Linked DNA regions of Solanum lycopersicum. The protein of the gene in region 1 interacts with the protein of each later gene in a pairwise test. Links are inferred from orthologs where the notes say so. Each region holds a gene or a part of one and is shown on either strand. Other genes may lie near its edges.

What was found.
Region 2: the proteins of SAC3 family protein A (region 1) and enhanced ethylene response protein 5 interact in binary tests that used the Arabidopsis thaliana proteins (3 or more experiments, as listed by UniProt). The link is inferred for Solanum lycopersicum from reciprocal best matches to the Arabidopsis thaliana genes SAC3A and EER5.

Annotation. Positions count from the first base shown.
Region 1 is NC_090804.1:67,957,804-67,963,077, forward strand, and holds part of SAC3 family protein A, read right to left. Parts: intron 4,029-5,274; coding exon 3,180-4,028; intron 2,405-3,179; coding exon 1,964-2,404; intron 1-1,963. UniProt on the Arabidopsis thaliana protein: Component of the TREX-2 complex (transcription and export complex 2), a muliprotein complex that functions in docking export-competent ribonucleoprotein particles (mRNPs) to the nuclear entrance of the nuclear pore complex (nuclear basket).
Region 2 is NC_090806.1:47,705,732-47,711,533, forward strand, and holds the start of enhanced ethylene response protein 5, read right to left. Parts: upstream 3,770-5,802; 5' UTR 3,583-3,769; coding exon 3,409-3,582; intron 3,105-3,408; coding exon 2,968-3,104; intron 2,884-2,967; coding exon 2,790-2,883; intron 2,714-2,789; coding exon 2,349-2,713; intron 2,125-2,348; coding exon 2,037-2,124; intron 1-2,036. UniProt on the Arabidopsis thaliana protein: Involved in the regulation of ethylene response. Probable TREX-2 component required for nuclear RNA export.

The DNA of each region.
Region 1 (5,274 bases):
GGAATAAATAATCTGACATTAATTTGATGCAATGCAAGAATAAATACCATGTTATGACATGTCACCATTATCCCAATTCCCAACTATTAGTTACCACTAGAATAAAATACCAAGGTTTCTCAGATTGTGTGGCGACAAAAGTACAGAACACAACCAAGGAGCAGTATTTCATCAATAAAACCTAACAGTTGAACTGTCAATCATAACAAGATAGAAGATTGCAGCGTCAAAGTATCATATTAAAAAAAGCTGCTCCTTACTCCTTAATAGTTCAGCAAAATCAGAAGTCCTACCAATATCGAAATTTCCTGTACAAGTGATTAAACCAAGTTGACACAAACCTACCAGTTTAGCCATTAATAACTATATCATTGTTTCAACATCAACTTGAAAAAGAGAATCCCAAACTGAAAAACCCGTTAAGAGTATTTCAAGAGAAATAATTGCAGACTCACACAGCTTTAACTTTTTCCCAAGTGAAATTCATGTTCAAACACAATAGACTTCCAGATAACCTTTTCCAACTTCCATCTCAGATTCTTTTTTTTTTAACTTGAACCAAATATCGTCACCAACATTAGTAATTAATAGATTTAACTTTAGCAAGCAAGCATGTTGCTTTTCACTTCAGAAGTTGTAACGATGTCGACCGTGAAAAGGTAAGTTGGCTATTTCTATTCTCACAGCTACACCTAAAAGATAATGCAATAAAAGTTCAAAAAAACTCTGTCCGGCTTTTACCATAATAGAATATACATTTACACAGAACTCGCAGACGTCTCAGTAGATTTGTTCACTAGACACATTTAAATGACCAAGAAAATGATTATAAAATAACCCATCTTCGCCAAGCTTGGAATGCAATTGTTTTATCCAAAACGAACATGTGAGCTTATCCACATGCGACTCATTGGAACAACTCTGAAGGTTTTCCTGATAGACCAATGGTGGTGAGTGCCTTTAAAAGCCCTAACTACATCGTATTAAAGAAATACACAACCTACCACCCAAGCTACTGATTCACTGGTTATCAAAATATCCTCTGCATAACTATTCCGCCAATATCACCCATAATATAAACCTTCCTTACTAAAAGCACATAAATCAGCGAAAATATGGAACTCCAGAATATTAAATTAGGTTAGTCTTGCTAGTATTGATAAAATGATACCACACCAAATACACTTGACAAGTCACTTCCCAAATGCACTTCTACATATTAGACTAATGGAGTTATTTAGAGGGCTATATTAGTACTAGATCATTCTTGTCAAGCGCATAGGATCATTTGCTTTAATAGGATTTAATTAGCATCATATCATTATTTTTGAAGAAAAACTTTGGCAAGTTATATGAGAAAGGTCCTAAGAGGTGCTACTCAACCAAGGGTGTAAAGAAGTCTAATCAATGCATATATGGAAGTTTAGAGAATGGCTGGCCCCTCCAATTGGTAATTTGGTTTAAGATGAAGTGAGTTGTTTTGTTAATGGCACCAAGTAGATGCAAATAAAGTACAAAAGATAGTAAGCATGAAGTAACACTTTTCTCAAAAAAAAAAGATAGTAAGCACACAAAAGAGTTTGTTAGCTCCATTCGAATATGTACTCCTCTCGAATTCGTTAATGCATTGGGGTTTTCGAATTTTCCCCTACAAATTATCCATAGTGACTACTCATAACAAGCATCACTTGACCAATTCAAAGAGAATCTTATAACAACATACCCGGTGCAATCCCCTAAGAGGTGGCTGGTCTAAGAGAAGCTTACAACAAACATAAAGGAACACTAGCACAGATATCTTCTAATTGACTATCAAGATGAAAGACTATCAAGAAGCAAGTGAAAAATCTATCATCTTAGTCAAGCATTTGAACTTTGTCCGTCAACTATGCAAAGTTATGTTACAAAACACAATTTATGATTGCATGTTTTACTGAAATGATCAAAGTTAAAGGTGTTTAACCTTGAGAGCATTCTCTGCAGCATTAGATGATACTTTTTCATTAGTTTTTGGTAAGGAAACGCTGACATATGCAGGTTTGGCCGCTGCATTAGTTGTAGAGCTTTGGATATCCAGCTTTGGTAAACCCATGGTCAATGTTGAAGTTATTCTAGGGTTTGTGGGAATCTGTAGTTTGCTAGCACTACCTGTATCGCCTGGTGTAACAGTTTGCTGCATAGTGGGCAAGGATGACTGATAATTATAGGGCATCTGATAAGAGGCTTGATATTGTGTGCTTGGTCCTTGGGGACATGAAGAACTTTGTTGAAGGTTTTCATGAGAAGGGGTTATGTCTAAAGGCTTTTGACCATAAGACTGTACTGGATCAGGCTGCTGATTTTGGAAAGAGGGAGCCCAATGTTTCCAGTAACTATCATGAACGTTTCCACCTACAGCAGGAGACTGACCCAAAAAAAATTAAAAGTTAAGTTCATTAGGCAAATCAAAAAGAACTCCACACATAACATGAAGGGAAAGAGAAATGAAGTTGCTTTTCTCAGTGTACTGAGTATTGAAAAGCAAAAAAAAATGAGGCACTGACTGCAATGACAGTAGATAACATCTCTTCTTCTGTGAGTAGCTGGCACTCAACAACTCGCACAAGATAGAAGTTGAATATCCAGACTATCAAACGTATAATAAACACGAATGATATTTAGACAGCAGAGTTAAAAGAGCATACAAGGCATTGCTTACCAGATCTTTAGCAGCTTGTTGAACAACAGAACAACTAAAATAGCAAATTAACCTAACATGTGAGTGTGATACATGATTTATCACCATCTTTTCCGTCTCTCTGATTGCTTAACATGGTTTTGAATTTTAAGAGGATGTTTGGATGGACTTATTCTAAGTAGTTTTAGGCTTTTAAGCTCTTCTTTATTTTTGGAGGTGTTCGGGAAAGAAGAAGTGCTTTTAACCACTTTCTTTTAGGCTGAAAAAGCACAAAAACAAGCTAAAAGCCAAAAGGCTATTCCAAACTTATGGCTTCTAGCTTATAAGCTACTTTAAAAAGTCTATCCGAACACCCCCTAAGTGAATTACATGACAACTGATATTCAAATAGGAGTCTCGACGCATGCATAAAAGTTATGTCTCTACGCATGCATAAAATTATCTATTATAAGTAAAACTCCAACAGAGTAACTCATTTGTGAATTGCATGTAAAGGAAAAACCTGCACCGCAGACAATGCGGGCAAACCAGATTCTGGCTTGCCAGGTGGAGCATGAGATGCCGGAGCCTGGACACCTGAAGCTGGGTAACCCGCCGGAACAGGGCAACTCAGACTGGATACATTAGAAACGGAAATATTTTCTGTTCCAGGAGCACAGGGGACATCATTTTGTGTATGGTTGTAATAATCGGCCCATTGCTTGTACTGTTGTTGATACTGTGAAGCAGCAGGAGCTGTGGTAGAACTGTATGCGGCATTTGAATCAGAATTGTAGCTTGGATACTGATGGGAAGTGTATGTTGCATATTGTCCTTCATGCCATGCGTTCGTCTGGTTATTGTAAGCACCACTTGTGTAACCTCCAGATGTCTGGTAATCACCAGGATTGTAGTAAGTGCTTGAATAACTTGCAGGCCCAGCATAAGACCCTGTATTCTGTAATGAGGAAAGGGGCTGATAAGGAGCACCTGTATTTTGATATGCTCCTGATGGCTGAGGATAGGATTGATTAGGTTGTTGTTGATAGCCATTATAGTAAGCAGCATATCCTGTATTGTTGTATCCATAAGGATCAGTACTTTGATAGGTTCCATAGCTACTGTAATCCTGCTGTACATTTGTGGCACCGGAACTTGGTGTAGTAGCACTAGCTGCAACATTCAATCCATCTTGAACATTCCTTGAAGGCGGTGCAGCTTGTTGGTCATGATCATAACCAGAATGTGAGACAACTCCATTTTCCCTGGCATAGCTATCTGCAGCATGAGCGCTCCATGGTGCAACTGTAGAATTTGGAGGGGCGTAATATGAAGACATGTGATGTTGGTTTGGATCGACAGCCTGATGATTCTATATAGGGAAAAAAAAGGATTTAAAGTCATATAATGGGAAATCAACTCACCTATCCAGAACAATTTATAGCAAGAGCAGTACATGATAAAGTTGCAGAAGAATAGTAAATATAAGCAAGTTAAAAGAGTTGGTGGCTGAAAGAGGAGAAGCATTTAACGCTTTCACCATTCGAGTAAAGGAAACATTTAATCAATCAACATGTACAACGACCAAAAATTATACATGTAGTGAATGTCTATCCATAGAAGGCAAGAGCACACAGTTTCGGCTCATAAGAACCAGTTTCTCAACATAAGGATAGTCGGTAGTCAATGCATCAAACATGACCTTCACAAAATCTATCTACATTGTTGCCCAAGTATCTCCACGATAAACATAAACATGACACATACCAATGTAAGTAAAGCCTTTCATACTTGTATTGATGGATAAAAGCAGACAAGGCATCTTGATTTACTACTTACAAACATCACTAGCACAAGACAGTCAATTGTGTCTCTCCAGCATCAGAGTGACTTGTCATAGCTACTTCATCAAGAACTCTGACTTTTGTGTATCTCATTACTAACCATTAACAAGTTGTACATACATTTAAATAAGGCAGTTTTACTAAGTGAAAAGTCAAACGACTTTTTCTTTAAATTTAAAATTTTCAAACAATTATTTATTTATTTTTTCGATGAGAGTGGTGTCCGGACCAGCTTTCGAGCACCTCGACTAATTCCACAAGATATTTGTCATCTCCCACCCACAACAAGTTAGATAACTCTGTCCACCAAGGCTAGGACAGATGGGAAGAGTCACTTAGCGATTGTTTGGTCTGCACTGAGTTCTGAACCCGAGAACCTCAAGGTTCTCAACCACTTTATTGACCACTAGGCCACATCCTTGATGCTATTTTTTCAAACACTTTCAAGTACTTCATAACATAAAATCTTGTGATTTCTACTGCTTCTTACAGTTTCTAGATATACAAATGTTAAATAAAATACTCTGAATCGATGTCCAAATTCATACGGACTATTAGATGACCAATGGAAGATCCAAGTACAGGTTTGTGGGTTCAGTAGAGCCCAAAGGTTTGCAGTCGAACCTTATATTTGTGTGAGAACAGGTAGAAATAGAGTTAGATGTACAGTTTAGAACTCATCCTTCCACTCAAAACCAAGTAAAACCAACAACACTTGTGTTTGGAATCTCCCACTATGCTTTCCCACATAACCCTAACACGACAATTCTTTTT
Region 2 (5,802 bases), on another chromosome or scaffold:
TGATATTTCCCATGATAGCAACCAAATCATCAAACAAGAAAACTGTTTCCTCTTCATCTTTTTTGAATAGGAAACTTAGATTTATAGTTTGAATACATTGATCTTCTACATTGGACAAACTTCTCAGAATTTACCCTCTTCAGATGAATCCTTTGCTTTAAAACACAGTCCTAAAAGAAATCCAAAAATGGAAGAAAGAAAGAAGGAAAGAGTTTGAGGGCACAATGAACTTCGAATATGGGACCAAATATCCTTTTAATTTTTCAAAAATAAGTTGAATAGCGCAAAGAGGACCCAGGTGCTTCTCATAGAGCAGTGTTGAGGTCTTTCTAAACTAGAAATACAGCTGATGCAAGTTAATAGTAGAATGCCAACAATTTCTTTAACTTTCCAGGGATGAGCTCCAAGAAAGAGAATATGGCATGCGACACGATTATTTCATGTCAGAAAACCAGGAACAAACGAAGCAAGAGAAAATACTACTGAAGGTAGACAAGTATGTCAATACAGAATAGACAAAAAAGGAAAAAAATAAAGAAATGAAAAAGGGGGAAAAGCAATTAACATCATCAAGACAATTGAAAGAAAAAAGACGGAAAAATAATTTGCATTCAAAGGTGTGACTTAGCATTCAATGAAGTGGGTGAAAACCTTGGCAATCAAGGTTCAAACTAAGCAGAGACAAGATAACACTGGGTTTTTCTCTTTATCTTCTGCCTAAGCCTTGGCAGAGGTACCCGGTACTTGTTTTGGTGGGAGGTAGCTAGTACCCAGTGGAATAATCGACGTGTGAGCAAGCCGCAGAACACCGTCATTATTTTTTTAAGGACGGACAGAAAAGGAAAAAAAAAACAATGTTTCTCAGGCCAAATAGTTTGTATGCGACGCTGTGGACACTTACTTCCTAGAAACCTCCGTCTAGGTGTACCAATCACTACCAATTTTGTTGATGCATTGGAGGCTGAACTTTAGTTAAAAGGAGAACTTTAGTTTAAAGGAGAACTTTACTTAAAGATGAAAGTGAAATTGATTCCGACTCTTGAAATTTGTGACAGTAGAAGATACAATATATAGAATATTGTCAAATGTCATAAAATCATTTTAAAGAGAATTTCAACACAAGGTTAAATCAGGGAAGCATCACTATTAGATTCCATTGGAAATGGAATCAAAATCTTGGTAGACTTATTTCCAAAGAAAGAAATTTCAAATGTATGTCACAAACTTGTATAATTGTATACCAATATATCTTGTCAATGGATCTTGAACAGCACTCAATGCATATCTCAGGCCAGTTTACTTTATAGTAATTTTGTTTTATGACGATGGCGGTCAGGCCAACTTGCGAGCCAGTTCATTTTATAGTAACGTGACTAGATAGGTCTCGACTGCTAACTAAAAGCCTACAAAATCCTAGTAGTCAACTTAATCCAAGGTGTAAAACAGTAGCAGCTTTTCAGTGTTAAAGTAAACGACACCTCTTACTTATCCATACACAAGGTGCATGTTTAAGCACTAAAGGATATTAAAACAATAAACTGAATAGGAATATTTTGAGGATCTCAGAGCATAGGGAAATTAAGGAAGAAAGATAACAGAAATGAGGAGATGATGGAGAAATGAAGATCAATAATCCCTTTGGACCCTTAGAAATGGAATATGCAACTCTAGTAAGCTACATCAGTAACTTTAACAGATTTTTTTGTCAGTAAAACTCAGAAACTTGAATGAATTAACTTCAAACGTTAAAAGAGTCTGAAAGCTAAACGAAGAAAACAGATTTAATGTCTAGCACTTATAGTTAATAAACAGAAAACCCTTTCATGAAATCCTTGGGAAGTATGACAATTCAATATTTCTTGGCTCCATTTCAACAGCATAATAATCTCCGTGATGTTCAACCGAAAACAGAAATCAGCAGCCATACCTTCTTTAGACTAGCTATTGCCAAGTAAATGCATGCATTAGACTATTCTAAAAAAATGTCAACATTTCAAGCTGAATAAATTAAATATGAACCAGAAGACATGCAACACCTCAGTCAAATTGTACTTCTCCAAAAGCGAAGTTTTAGGTAAGATGCCTATTGAGAGCTTCACAGGTATCAGATATTTTAGTATCATCCTGAAAAGAAAAGCCTAAAATCGATGAGATGAAATCAATGCACTCAGTAATAGTGTCTGGTTTCCTGTTTGAAAAAGAAAACCGACACCTTAAATGTAAAAATCCAACATTTATTGCAGAAATTAGTATCATTGCCGGATATTCATCCAATAATCTCCATACCATTATATCTTTTCATGTGTGGAACAAAGTAATCCCGAAACATAAAAGGAATCTATACAGACCTTATATTTCTTTCTTTTCGAGGATTGCAATGGCTTAGAGCATATGATAGCTTATGATCAGCAGCAGAGAAATTTTCATTGTACACCTCCAACCGTCCAGTATAATACATGTAAGTAACCTTATCCCTAAGAGGAAACTCCTCGAAATCGAAAATGCGGGCAGTTTCAATGCTTCTTGTAACACTTTTACACAAGTGAACTGTTCCGAGCTTGAAATAAATTTTGAAAAGCTGGCAAGTCACGTACAAAGCTCCAACACGTTTTGATCCTTTTCCAGCAAGGACTCCAAACACTTTCATGAGAAATGAGCCAGCCCCTTTCAACTTCTCAGGAGTTTTTCCATTAGAAGCCAACTCTCTATCTGCCTACACATTCAAAAACATATATTAGTCAACTCAATAAATCTTCTACTAATCCAAATATAACAAGAATAGCTCTTACCCTTTCTGCTAGAATTCTAGTTTCATAGGCAATCACATAAAGGGCTTCCAAAGCCCAAGCAGATTCCCAGTTGCGAAACTCTTGAGTAAATGCACTGCAATGTCCACAAAATCAATATTTCCCCAGAAAATTCGGGAAAAGGGATATAGGATAAAGGAGAGAATAAGTTTAAACTTACTTGGCAGCTTTTTCAAAAGCCTGGTAAGATTCAACCAAGTTTTTGAGACGATAACTATGTAAAGCACGAAATAGAGGGAGTAGTATATCTGCATACTGAGAGTACCTATCAGTTTGTCTCATTACTCTGCTAGCATCCTGTTTTAGAGACATGAATTTCAATTAAGGAGTCTTTTCAATCTACAAAAACATCCATTCATATATCACACTACATCCATCTATCCCACTATGTTACTGTCCCATCAGCAAAAAAGAGGTATAAGAAACCCAAATGCGAAATTTAGCCCAGTAGAAATATGAGTAGCAAAGCAATTACTGCAGTTTCATCCAGAAAAAGGAATCATCAATCCGATTCAAGCCCTAAGTTGTAAAAGAAAACTAGAAGGTTTAATTCATACAAGTGTCTACAACAATCAAAATGGACAATTGAACGCGCAGTTACCTGGAAAGTGATGAGGGCATCGGATAGAGAAAGGAGAAAAGAAGAATTTGAAGAGATAGAGAAAATAAGGCATAGAGACTTGGCATCTTGAGATGAAACAGCATCGGAGAAGCGATTGAGGAAGTCAGTAATTCGTCTGTGAGCTTCTCCCATGCTTAAATAGGCTGAAGCCATTCTTTCTTCTTCAATTCAATTGAAGCTTTTCGCTTTGAGCAGAAACCCAGAGGGGTTTATGTCTTTCTTCTCCACTCACGACAATGATAAACCCTCTTTCTATTCTCCAAATTAAATGAAAGAGGTCAAATAAATTTTGATTTTTGTTTTCGGTGACAGAATCATCAAGATCTATTTAGATTTTCTTAAAAAGGTAATAAAGTAAATTTGATTAATATTTAAAAAAAAAATTCAAATTTCTTTTTATTTTTTTAACTTCTATAATTTAATTCAAATCATTTTAAAAAAATAAAATAAAAAATTCATTTTCGGCAACAATAGACATATTTGTGTCAACATATGATTCATCCGTGGCAACATAAGATTTATATGTGGCAGCATAATGTTATTATTAGTTTATAATGAATTGTAAACTCTCAATCTTTTTTTATTTAACTTGTTGATGAAATGATATTTTAAGATTCATCCATGACAACAACTCAATCTTTTTATTGGTCTTGCTTCCTCTTCTAACATCAAATGCTCTTTTTGTCTATGCAAAGAATGTGAGCAACAATATAATTATTTCATTAGTTGTGTTAAAAAAACTCACTGATATTTCTAAGAAAATGTCTCATAATATTGATGTTCAAAGATCCTAGAAAATTTCACAGCCTTTGAAGTGTAGGAAGTTGAAAAAAATTATTTTTCAAACACTTTCTATAATTAGTGAGAAGAAAGAGAAGGAGAAGAAGGCAAAGGAAGAGAATTTTTCAAACACTTTCTATAATTAGTGAGAAGAAAGATAAGGAGAAGAAGGCAAAGGAAGAGAAGGAGAAGGAGAAGCAAAAGGAGAAGGATAAGAAGAAGGAGAAGGAGAAATAGAAGGACAAAAAGAAGTAAAAAGAGGAGAAGAAACAGATTGAAAAAGCGAAAGTAAAAAAGAAAGAGAAAAAAGTCAATGTCGTCAGTTATGATGTGAAGCGACAATATCCATTTAAAGATTTTGACATTGATGGCGGGGTCCAGATGAATTAATGTCATCCTTCTCACAATGAATAAATGAGAGTTTTTACAAGTATCATGTAAAAAAAATAAGGTCGTTCAACTATTATTAGTATTCTTCTTGTTGTCCACTAAATAATTATTTATAATGATTACACAATTGTAAAAGAGACAAGGACGATCACTACTTAGACAATTATTCAAAACTTGATTTTAATCAACTTGATTTTGTAGTTGCATTTTCAAAGAATAAGAACTGATTCTACAAAATGTCTCAACACAATAAGTGTTGGACTGATGAGGTAAATTCATTTCCACTTTTATGTTTTGATTAATACATGAATATATACTAATAAATTGATAAAAAAGATACACTTGTTTGATGCATCGTGCAGTATGTGGATGTCATTTTTTACTATTTGCATAAGAAGTCGAACTAACAGAGTCATTTTTAATATCGATATACCACTACTAATTGTTTTTTCAAAACATAATTGACAATGCTAGTGTTGTTCCTGAATATGAGGATAAAATCATTGGCACTATGAAAGGGTTTGATATAGCTTGTGGACTGTCTTGGCTCTTGACAAATGATGTTTATGTCCCTGTAAATAGTAACGGGGACTTCCATTAGATCTTGACAGTCGTTGCATTGAAGGAACGATGAATAAAAGCATATGATTTGATGTCTTCATCTAGGTCTAACAGAAAATTGTTACCGAGATTCAAAGGTTGCCTATAATATTGCCAAAGTACCTTGAGTTAAGCGAATTTTTTGAGCAAAAAGAGTGAACTGACTTGTCAATTCTTGAATGTTACCAAGGAACAAATCTCACTCATTTGAAGTCAGACATGTTATTGGTATTGCCCAACAAGAAAGCAATATTCTGTAAGTATCACATTATTTTTTTGTCTTGCGACTTCCAAAATGTGATGTTATTTTATTTTCTACTGCAAAATTATGGCAGCGTGGACGTGACGTTGTATCATCACTTAGGCTCATAGTCATTGTTGTATCCCACAGAAACTATATTACTTTCATATATAAGTAAAGTTGAGTTTATTATTATCTCAATGAACTTAGAGTTTACAATATATATATATATATATATATATATTGAGTTCTCATCTTATGTGTTGAGCAGAGCCAAAGTAAGTTCATCCTTACTCTATTTGAAGATGCATAGTTGTGTTAGCACTCGAACTCAAAAACTCGTACATTCAATGTACTGGTTC